Linked DNA regions of Neurospora crassa OR74A. The protein of the gene in region 3 binds, or shares a complex with, the protein of the main gene of each other region. Links are inferred from orthologs where the notes say so. Each region holds a gene or a part of one and is shown on either strand. Other genes may lie near its edges.

Region 1 (3,748 bases), on a different chromosome or scaffold from region 3:
AACGTCTGAAGCCGCCTGGTTTCCAAGAGATCTTACCTGCGGAGTCATTTGATGAGTGTTTGATATGAGAAGACATCGGGTTTTTGATCAGCGGCTCCATGACTATCACATCAAGCTCTCCTGTGATGGACGAGCAAGAAGGTCTGGACCGAATATGTGAGTGGTAGTAAAGGGTGAAGAAGCGAGCTAGATGCCCATACTTATGAGATTTAGTCAACAGGAGGGTCTCGAAATTGCACATTGGTGGTTCGAGTGGGCGGCGCTGGAGTAGCTTTCCTTCAGTCGCCATGAGTGCTTTGAGACAGTGTATGCAGATTGGAAGCACCTTGTGTACAGACGTTCAAGTTGTGCGAACTCGGATCCCGCTGTATACTCAATCAGGGACGTGGTACTGAATAAATATACCTAGGTAGACGGCCGGCAAGGAGCTAAACCCAGCCTAAATTCATTGCAGAATAAAAAGGCATAGGCTCAGTCATCGTGTGCCGTTGTACAGCATGTTTATTGTAAACAGGAAAACCTGTGTTACGAAGTCTCGGTGAGGGAGTATATTCGCCTTGCATGGTGCCGCCTTTGCGGTTAACCTGACCGTGAAGGTTGAATGGTGCGAGGCATAAATGCTGTAGTTGCCGCACCTGCACAGAAAGAATTTAAATGGGAGGTTGAAGTTGGACATTGTTGGCTAGGCTGATCGCAGGCATTGCCATAGATGAATAATGCATTTCCCTTAGTGATGCTGCAACACGAAGAGCAGACGAGCATCTGGGTGAAGTTGTCCCACTTCACGCCTCACTGAGCCAGGCCATTTCAGTTGCCGACGGCAGGAGCGCTGAAATATCGTCATAGTTGTCTTCTATGGCCATCATGGCTCCGCTGACTGGTGATGGTGAAGACGGGAAAGGAGGTAGATGAATGATAGGAGGAAGTAAACAACGAAAGTGGAATTAAGCCGCCAAGCACTGGTGGAGTCGTAGACTGTTTACTTGGCACTGTGCCTGCCATTCGTTCGTCAAATGCCAAGAGCGCCTGGACCAGTGGCAGGCAGGCTTCAGTGCCCTGGAGTTCGACTTCCACTTCGACTTGCAGCCTGCCGGTATTTTGCCGCTAACTCAAATGTTTGGAGCTACCTCTACGGCCACCACGGTCACAATCCTAGCCACCGCGTCTCTACAATACATCACGAATACAGAAAACCGCCACCATGTCTAGACGGGATTTCCTCAGTCAACCCGCACCCGAGAACTACGTCGCCGGTCTCGGTCGTGGTGCCACGGGTTTCACTACACGATCCGATCTTGGTCCCGCGCGCGAGGGTCCTAGTGAAGACCAGATCAAGGCGGCCGTCGCGAAGAGATCTGCACAGCTAGGTCTGACCGAGGCCAAGGACGACGACAATGAAGACGATGGCCGCTATCAGGATCCCGACAACGAAGTCGGCTTGTTCGCCGGCGGCATATACGAGAAGGACGACGAGGAGGCAGATCGGATATGGAAAGAGGTAGACGACAGGATGGCGAAGCGGCGACAGAAGCAAAGGTTAGTCATTACCTCGTATACATCACTTGACATCCTACATAAATTCACAAAACACCCTTCTACCCCTTCCCCAACACTTTCAAGCAAGCATGTGGTTTATCGGTCAAGATAGATGAAAAGCAGAGTACCGACAAGAAATCGCATTTTCACAGGGAAGCACGAGAAGAAGCCGAACGATTAGAGTACGAACGAAAGAACCCCAAAATCCAACAGCAATTCGCCGGCCTCAAACGAGCGCTCGAGACGGTCACCGACGAAGAATGGGCAAACCTACCAGATCCCAAGGACCTTACCGGCAGGACCAAGAGGGCACGCCAGGCTCGCATGGAGCGCTTCTACGCCGTTCCCGACAGTGTCCTCGCTGCCGCGCGAGATTCCGGCCAGTTCGGTACCACCGTTGCAGAAGACGGCACCGCCACCGAAGGGGTCAACAAGGATGGCACAGTTACAGATTTCGCAAAGATCGGTGCGGCTCGCGACAAGGTGCTGAGGGCGCGCTTGGAACAGCAATCACAGTCGAGTAGCGTGGCCACGGCGGGAAGCGCGACGAGTATCGACCCCAAGGGCTACCTGACATCGCTGTCGAGCATGCAGGGTGCGGAACAAAGCATTGGAGACATTGAGCAGTTCAGGAAGATGCTCAAGTCGGCTGTCGACTCGAACCCCAAACAGGCAGCCAGTTGGATTGCTGCAGCGAGATTGGAAATCGCGGCGGGAAAGCCTGGTGCTGCCCGCAGCTTGATTGCCAAGGGCTGCGAACACTGCCCGAAGAGCGAGGATATTTGGCTGGAAAACATTCATTTGAACGACAACCGGAACGCCAAGGTCATTGCGGCACAGGCTATTCAAGCCAACCCACACTCGGTCAAGCTTTGGGTGGAAGCGATGAAGCTGGAAAACGACCCTAGATCAAAGAAGAAGGTTATCCGGAGAGCTCTCGATCATAACCAAGAGTCCGAGGCGCTATGGAAGGAGGCTGTCAACCTCGAGGAGGACGTCGAAGACGCCCGCATTCTACTAGCCAAGGCGACGGAGCTTATCCCGGAGTCGCTCGACCTCTGGTTGGCACTGGCCCGTCTCGAGACTCCCGAAAACGCCCGCAAGGTTCTCAACAAGGCCGTCAAGAAGCTTCCCAACTCGCACGAACTCTGGATCGCCGCCGCTCGCCTGGAAGAACAACTAGGCGAAGGCAAGAAGCGGCCCGTGATGAAGAACGCCGTCAAGTTCCTCGCCAAGCAGAACGCCATGCCCAAGCGCGAGGAATGGATCGCCGAAGCAGAAAAGTGCGAAGAGGAAGGCGCCGTCATCACTTGCAGCAACATCATCGAAGAGACGCTTGGCTGGGGTCTCGACGAGGACGATGACCGCAAGGAGCTCTGGATGGAAGACGCGCGCGCCTCCATCAACCGGGACAAGTTCGCCACAGCGCGCGCCATCTACGCCTACGCCATCCGCGTCTTCCCCAACAGCAAATCGCTCTACACGGCCGCCATCGACCTGGAGCGCAACCACGGCAGCAAGGAAGACCTCTGGCACGCGCTCGAAAAGGCCGTCGAGGCCTGTCCGCACTACGAAGTCTTCTGGCTCATGCTCGCGCGCGAGAAAGCCGCCGAGGCGGGCGTCGACGAGGCACGCCTCGTCCTTGCCCGCGCCTTCAAGCAGAACCCGGACAGCGAGGACATCTGGCTGGCGGCCGTCAAGCTCGAAGCCGACAACGGTTTCATCGACAAAGCCCGCGAACTCCTCAAGACCGCGCGCCAGAATGCGCCCACCGATCGCGTGTGGATGCGCTCCGTGGCGTTTGAGCGTCAACAAGGCGTCAACGAGGCCGCTTTGGATCTCGTCCAACAGGCCCTACAGCTCTTCCCTTCCAAGCCCAAACTCTGGATGATGAAGGGCCAAATCTACGAAGACCTCGGCCAACTTGGTCCTGCGCGGGAAGCCTACAGCACCGGCGTGCGCGCCGTCCCTTCGTCCATCCCGCTCTGGCTTCTGTACTCTCGTTTAGAAGAAAAGGCCAACAATGTCGTCAAGGCGCGCTCGGTCCTCGACCGCGCCCGACAAGCCGTGCCCAAGTCCCCGGAGCTATGGACGGAACTCATCCGCGTCGAGCGGCGCGCGGGCAACTTGAACCAGGCCAAGTCGCTCATGGCGCAAGCGTTACAGCAGATGCCCAAATCGGGCTTGCTGTGGGCGGAAAGGATCCTCAACC
Region 2 (3,748 bases), about 1.5 Mb from region 3:
CGTATAAATCAGAATAGCTCTCAGGTGTCGCTGGGCTGTTGGAGGGAGCGTCTTGCTACTGTATACCTTATAAACGCCGTGGTTTAACCTTTTATCAATCTTCCATACAACGACATGTATATTGATTGGTGCGCTTTGTCGCAGGTGTCCTGGTGCTGCAACTTACACACCTCAACAATTCGTTATGTGATATCCCCCTATATGCCGGGCCGAGTAAACCAAGATGTCGGAGCTATCAGTTATCTACGGGTAAATGGCGAGGGGCATGAATATGGGTAATAAGAAAAATAACATGCTCATGGTTACTAAATTGCATAGAAGCGACGAGACCAGGCAGTATGTCGCGTTGATGAGCTGGTGAAGAAATCATCTTGTCGTCCCCCCTTAGCCGCGATCTCCTGAAAAACTCCATGGAGTAATAGGATAGGAAGGACTACCTCCGGATGCGGTATCCCATCTACGGCATCAGAGGATCCGATCGTACGAGACAAGTGATTTATGATAGGACGTGACTGCCGAGGACATGTCCCGCGAGATGAGTATTGGCGGCGTGGCTTGCTGAAAGATGTGACTAGATCTCAGAGCCGCCCCAATCCAGTGTGGCAAACAAAGAGTTTACCCCTGACTGCCCTTCATATACCGGACAATGCATCAACGGTACATTTCTTCCGCTTAACCTAAGAAATCAGTCAATGAGAAACCAACTCAGCAACGGCCTCAACATGACGATACACGTTCACGAACACTGCTTGCGCATGGCTAGGCGCGAGGATGGTACACCGTGGTGGGCAGCATTTCCAGAGCCAACTTCGACGCCGGTCCATATCGAGCCCCAGACTGTCCTCGAGCTTCTTGAGCAGCAAGAACATGTCGATGACATGCCCCAATCGCGCAGATTGCTGCTTGTCGATTGTCGCCGGACAGACTGCGCCGGGGGAACTGTCAGCTCATCAATCAACCTGCCCGCCCACAGCTTCTTCCCCACGCGCAAGAGCTTGTACGCTTTGTGCAAACAGGCCGGGATCCAAAAGGTGGTCTTCTATTGTGGTACGTGTTTGACTTTCTCTGTCATTGACTCTTGGGACAGAGTCCAATCAATCCTATGCTCTTTTGAACTCGTACCTCTACCGCCGACCCTCTCTAACACCGATGCTTCTTCCCCCAGGCTCCTCCGCTGGTCGGGGCCCTCGATGTGCCGCCTGGATGCAAGACTATATCAACGAAGTAGGCGGCGATCTTCAGTCGCAGGTCATGACGGGCGGGATTCGAGGCTGGGTGCGGATGTACGGCGACCGCATGGTGGACGGTTATGACGAGAAGACGTGGAAGCAGCTGTTGTCGGAGAAGAGCTGTACGTGATGAAAAACAAAAAAATCCTTTGGGTATCTTTTCTTCGACCACCGCCGCAGATGTTTCCCTTTCTAAGTTGAAGATAATGCAGCTTTCCCGAATACATGCCTCGTGTGAAACTGAACGCCGTACCAGCCAACCCACCTAGCTTTTCACCGTCCAAGACCGCGTGGAACACTGTAGATGTCGTCGTAAAGTGTAAATCGCCTTGGTATATAGTCAAATCCCGTCAATTGCCATCCGCTTATTCCGATGCCTCGCCTTTTGATGTAGGCGTTTGTAGATGCGCAGGGTCGTTTTATCGTGTTGCGAGAAGATGATTGTTGATTAGCCGCGCTGTCCTCCCCTCTCATCGCCGCCGATTCTCTCGAGAGCCTCCATCATCACAACGGAGTTACCACGAATGGTCTGTGTGCACATTCGTCAGCAGGAGACACGTCAGCACCTTTCTACAATGATAAACATACCACCATGCCAAGCTTGACCTTCTCACCACCATCCTTCTCCTCAACAGCATCGTCCAAAACAATGTTCAAGAAGACCTATGACGTCGCGAACCGTCAATCATCATGTTCGAATTCGTAAAGGGGAGATCTCGTACATCGTAGCCACGGAGAACACCAATGACCTTGCGGCTGCCGTTGAGTTGGACGAAGAGCCTCTTGTCGAGGTACTGGTTGGAAAGTGGTCGGTTAGCTCACTACACCATACTAAACAAACAATAACATGGAGTTCGAGATGCGACAATGGCATAGTCTCGACCAGCCAGCTGCCATTCAGCGTGAAAGGCAATTCTCCAAGAGTAAGTTCTTACCTTCTTCAGTTCAGGTTGTGCGGGCGCCATTGTATCTTGAGGTTGTGTTGGTTGTCTGGGATGGTCTCGAGAGAGTTGCTGCAATGAATGGCAATGGCGTCGTTCTGGCTGGGAACTCTCCACTGAAACAACCTGGAAGGCGGGCCTTGTGCAGCGCGTGCAATCGCGACCATCCCCAGTGATTTTCGGCCGCCAGGCCATCACGTGGGGACACTGATAAGATAAGAAACCGCAATTCGCGTTGCCCGTCTTTGGGTGATTGCAGTGTTCAGTGCAGTGGTGACATCCAGTCGCCCACCAGCGTCATTCTCCAGGGTGCATTTCGAAGCTTCCTAGCTGTCTGGACACCTTTTTGCACTACAAACTTACCTGTAAACAACACGCCCGCCTCAATACTACATCACTGTATTACAAACTCCCTGTCAGACAACCTACTTCCATTCTACACTTTACTCAAGTCGATCATCACAAAAATGAGCTCTTTTGGAAAGCGCAAGCCACGCATTATCCAGACCTTTGACGATGAGGATGGCGACCTTCCTACGGTGCTTGGAGGAGAGGAGCCGAAGAACGAACGTAAGTTGCTATATGGCCATGCCCATCCCTTTCCAGCATAGAAAATCTCAGTGCTGATACCAAACCAAAGAACAAGCAAGCTGATACGCCTTCGAACAGAACCAGTACCGCAAGGACCGACCAAGTTTGGGCGCAGCAAGCCTACTAAATCTTCGTCACTACGAAGAACGATCAAGATCAACGACGGTAACGATAATCCACAAGAAACCAGCGGCGACGCAATCCAACCTACGTCAACCAGCACAAGTACGGCACCCGAGGTAACAGAAGCCGAGGAGGACACTGGTGTGCCGCTCGTAGTACGGCCCGGTTTCGGCCGCTCAGTCTCCAGCAAGAAGAAGCGCATCTCAAAACTATCATTCGGAGCCAGCGAGGGCGACACGGAAGATGGCGGCAATGATACGACAACAACTGCCAGCAGCGACGTGGTCAGCGCCCCAAGCAAAAAGTCGCTGAGCCAACGAGTTGCCGAGAAGAACGCGCTTCGCAAGTCCGCCCTGACCGCACGATTCGGCACATTTGGCGCCGACGAAGAGAAGCCTCGGTACAGCAAAGAATACCTTGAAGAACTCCAAAGCTCCACGCCAGCCACACCACAGAATCTCGCCTCGCTAAGCATCATCGACGACGATGACGACGACAGCCTCAAAACCCACAGCGCACCGTTGCCGGAGGCATCTGCCGCGCCCGGGACAACGGGCGACGCCATGGACCTCGACCCCTCTGAGCTTGACGGCGCCATGATTGTTCAATCCCGCGACATGCCCCTAGCGCTCACTGGCGATGCCCCAGCAGCCCATGTCCTCACCGAAGCCGAGATCCGCGAGCGCAAAGAGCGGCGCGCGCGCCTTGCCAAGGAACACGATTTCATCGCACTCGACGATAGTGACCACTCCGACAACGACGACCGAAAACGCATCACGTTGAGTCTCAACAAAAAGGCCAAGAAATCCGAATCGCGCCTCATAGCCGAAGACGAAGACCTAGGTGAAGGCTACGACGAGTTCG
Region 3 (3,748 bases):
TCGATATGCATTGAGGGTGGAAAGGCTCGATGAGATGTGGTTTTTACTGTCAAGAAGGAGAGAGAGAAAGAGAAAAAAAACAGAAAAGAGAAAAAAGAAGAGAGTTGTGACTGGGGGAGCGTGCGAAGAGAGAGGTCGACAATGGCAACAATGAAATGGAGTTCCGTGGGCAGCAGAAGTTAAAATAAAATGGAGCCCGGACTCTGCACCTGCAGTGAATTAGGATGGGCCTGGACCGGGTTTGTGACCTTGGGTATTACCTATGCACAATTTAGTACCCCTAGGGACTGGAATGCACTAGCCGGGCAGGGGGCCGCGTCCGCCTCACCCAAATATCCCGCCATTGAGCCAACCACGATAAAGAGAAAAGCGTTCACATCATGCGTCACGGTCTGGGCAGGCCGGGCAGGCCGGGCAGGCGAGCAACTGAAAGGGCGGAAAGACCAGCTGGATTGGTCTGGTGAACTTAAAGGAAAAGGAGGAATTGGCGGGCGTTCCATGTCCCAGGAGGAATTGGCGAGAGCACGTGAAAATCGGGTGAGAGACATCAGACATACGTCTCACCCGCATTAAAGGGAATGCACCATCGGCCATTTTCCAGGCTTTTTCCACACTAGCTTTCAACCTGAAAAAAGCCCCATGTTGCTCTCCATGTCCAGAAATGAACCTCCAATACCACACGGCAGGTGTCATGTGTGTATAGGTAGTGTAGTGTACCAAGGCCGCTGGATGCCGACCCCGATCTTCAGTTTTGACAAGTCTGGGGAATCCGAACAGCCGGGGCTCGATTGGCGGTCATTAAACCGCATTGATCGACGGGCTGGGAAGGGGGAACTGGCCGCACCGTTTGTGATCGCGCTTCCATGTCACCTCGGACCAAACCTACCGTGTGCGAAGTGGGTATTAACGAATGTTGACACCAACAAGGAATCTATCACATATCACATGAAACTTTGAAATTTCAAGTACCTCTTTGAATGATCGGTGAAAGCTTCATGGCGATTCGTTGGTTCACCTTAAGACGAGGTGCCCGTGGTGCTAGGACCGAGATGAGCGCATTCAGGTGGGACAGCTTGTTGAGGGTTAGGGTCGAAGATGCGCCGGAAATTTTAGTGGAGCTCCCGCAACAGCAACGGCGCCAGCATTGTAAACTTCCCTGTGATTGCATCACCTGCTATTTCACGACAGCAAGCAAAACATCGAGCCCTCACATCAAACGGTCCTTTAGCAACCACAAGCCGGACTCGAATCACCTGGCTTTACTCGCGTTCAAGTGTCCAGAAGATTTAGCAAACGAACAAACACCGAAAGTTTAGCACTATGCATCCGGCGCGTAGAGCCTACGTGGAGGAGGCCGAGCCTGAGGTAAGACCATGCTCTATATGCGCCCCTCGCATCATTGAAGGCACCTGCTCAACATTGCAAACAGAGCCCGGACTGACCCCCCCTGAAGCAGGATCGCGGAGGCATGGATCTAGACTCCGTCCGTAAGTCCCCAAAACTCTTGTATGGCTTCCAACCCATGACTGATTTGCGTGTTAGCCCTCGATCGCGACTACGACATCCCCGGTGCTGGGGCTGGTATTGCCCCAGAGAAGGCCTCCGTTCTTCTATCGCAGTTTGAACGAAAACGATTAGCGGCTTCGATTGCTGTTCCTACCGACGATGGCCGGGTACGAGCCAAATTGCGAGAGATGGGCGAGCCTGTCACCCTCTTCGGCGAGGGTCCGGCAGACAGACGCGACAGATTACGAGAACTCATGACACAACAAGCCGAAAAGGGAGGTCAGGAAAGTGCCGATGTGGAGATGCGGGACGCCGAAAACGAGGAAGATGAAGCCGGCGACCAAGAGGAGGAATTTTACACTACTGGAAGCCCGGAACTGCTCCAGGCCCGCATCGACATCGCTCACTACTCAATCCCGAGAGCTAAGAAGCGCATCGAGTTCCAGAAGAAGGAGTCCACCATCCCACTGCGGACACATGTCAAACACCGAAAAGAGATCAAGGAGAAGCTTCAAGGGTTTGAATTGCAAGGCAGTCAAACGGCAGGAGAGCGGCACATCAGCATGACAAGGATCTCGCCTGATGGAAACATGGTCGCAACTGGCAATTGGGGCGGACAGGTCAAACTCATCGAAATCCCAACCCTTGAGCCAAGGAAGACTTTGAGGGGCCACACCAACAAAGTCAGCGGCCTATGCTGGATGCCTGGAGCTACACTGCCGGAGCGCAATGTTTCTCCCGACACAGTCAATCTCGCTTCCGGAGGAGCGGAAGGCCAGATTCATCTCTGGTCTTTGAACCAAGACACGCCTTTGAGAACTCTCTCAGGACACTCGCAACGAGTATGTCGTGTAGAGTTCCATCCATCGGGCAAGTATCTGGCTTCTGCCTCAGAAGACACGTCATGGAGGATGTGGGATGTTGAAACCGGCACCGAGCTCCTTCTCCAGGAAGGTCACTCTCGCGGTGTATACGCTGTCAGTTATAACAGTGACGGATCGCTACTCGCTAGCGCGGGTTTGGACAGTATCGGAAGAATCTGGGATCTGCGGACAGGACGGACTGCCATGATTCTAGATGGGCATCAGGACGGCCATATCAAGCCTATTTATGGTTTGGACTGGGGCTCGGACGGTTACAGGGTGCTCACGGCGTCTGCTGATGGTTGGATCAAATGCTGGGACGTTAGAAAAGTGGAAAGAATTGGAGGCATTGGTGCCCATACAAGTGCAGTGGCCGACGTGCGGTGGTTCAAGGGGTTGGATGACCCGTTGGAAGGAGTGCCTCCTGGCGAAGATGAAAAGGGAATGCAAATTCCCAAAAAATCCGGCACCTTTATGGTGTCGGCAGGCTTTGACCACAAGGTGAACATATTTTCCGCTGACGACTGGGCCTTGGTTCAGTCTCTCAGCGGCCACACAGGGCCTGTTGCGAGTGTTGACGTTAGCCGGGATGGAAAATGGATTGTAAGCGGTGGCCATGACCGGACGGTCAAACTTTGGGGAAGAAACGACTCCAGGAGCTTGTATGATTCCTGAGCAGACATCAATCATGTGCGCGACAAGAATCTTGTCGTTGCCTCTCGCATAGGAGCAACACACCAAGGAGGGCGTTCAGCAAGCGACAGGCCAGGGCTTGGCTTACCGCTCCACGAGAGACAGTATCGGCAGATAGATTGCATAGAAGCCGTCTCAATTTGTAGATCAACAACCACAACTGGGTGCCCATAACAAGCTGCCTTTGGTACATGCGTCTGAGTTGCCTTGTGGTTGCGTTTCACTGACCCGGTAAGGATAAGGGGTGTCACCTGACCGCGAAAGTGGGCCTGTTGAGATTCCTTCTCCCTTCTTTTCTGCAGTGACGCGGGCAGGGTTGGGCGGGACACCTGCCGCTCGCGTTGGTTGGCGTTGGTAAAGTCACCCTGGCACCCTGGGAAATGGTGACGCACGGTCCATCGTGCGAAGCTTGGCTTTCTGATAAAGGGCGATAAAACAATGGCAGCAGACGCCATCACCGGGAACTTGTAGCGTTGGTCCGTTTTCGAACCTTTGACTTCTTCGTTTCTCGCATTTCTGCATTTTCAAGTGGTTTTATCCCCAGCCGGTATTTATCGCGAGAGACGTCATTCACAATACCCTCAACTCACAGCATCCGGGCAGCTCAAGTCCCCATGCGCATCAACCCGCTCAAAGCTGTCTGAAGGGCGACACGGGGAGGATTCGCTTATTTGGGAACCAGCCAG

The links.
Region 1: NCU11251 (region 3) and NCU04606 share a complex: the UniProt entries of both Saccharomyces cerevisiae proteins name them as parts of the U4/U6-U5 tri-snRNP complex. The link is inferred for Neurospora crassa OR74A from reciprocal best matches to the Saccharomyces cerevisiae genes PRP4 and PRP6.
Region 2: NCU11251 (region 3) and NCU09880 share a complex: the UniProt entries of both Saccharomyces cerevisiae proteins name them as parts of the U4/U6-U5 tri-snRNP complex. The link is inferred for Neurospora crassa OR74A from reciprocal best matches to the Saccharomyces cerevisiae genes PRP4 and SMX2.

Annotation. Positions count from the first base shown.
Region 1 is NC_026505.1:1,528,159-1,531,906, forward strand, and holds the start of NCU04606 (pre-mRNA splicing factor), read left to right. Parts: upstream 1-1,108; 5' UTR 1,109-1,201; coding exon 1,202-1,536; intron 1,537-1,648; exon of another isoform or gene 1,649-1,688; coding exon 1,689-3,748. UniProt on the Saccharomyces cerevisiae protein: Participates in pre-mRNA splicing. Part of the U4/U5/U6 tri-snRNP complex, one of the building blocks of the spliceosome.
Region 2 is NC_026501.1:6,357,958-6,361,705, forward strand, and holds NCU09880 (small nuclear ribonucleoprotein SmG), read right to left. Parts: upstream 2,309-3,748; 5' UTR 2,195-2,308; coding exon 2,165-2,194; intron 2,024-2,164; coding exon 1,952-2,023; intron 1,893-1,951; coding exon 1,818-1,892; intron 1,759-1,817; coding exon 1,678-1,758; 3' UTR 1,360-1,677; coding exon of another isoform or gene 1,166-1,359; 3' UTR 1,048-1,165; coding exon of another isoform or gene 723-1,047; 3' UTR 419-722; downstream 1-418. Other genes in the region: NCU10125 (hypothetical protein), read left to right, coding at 723-1,047, 1,166-1,359; NCU09879 (hypothetical protein), read left to right, coding at 2,638-2,740, 2,840-3,748. UniProt on the Saccharomyces cerevisiae protein: Plays a role in pre-mRNA splicing as a core component of the spliceosomal U1, U2, U4 and U5 small nuclear ribonucleoproteins (snRNPs), the building blocks of the spliceosome.
Region 3 is NC_026501.1:4,871,900-4,875,647, reverse strand, and holds NCU11251 (pre-mRNA splicing factor), read left to right. Parts: upstream 1-1,163; 5' UTR 1,164-1,320; coding exon 1,321-1,365; intron 1,366-1,429; exon of another isoform or gene 1,430-1,453; coding exon 1,454-1,487; intron 1,488-1,542; coding exon 1,543-3,044; 3' UTR 3,045-3,240; downstream 3,241-3,748. UniProt on the Saccharomyces cerevisiae protein: Involved in RNA splicing. Is required for the association of U4/U6 snRNP with U5 snRNP in an early step of spliceosome assembly.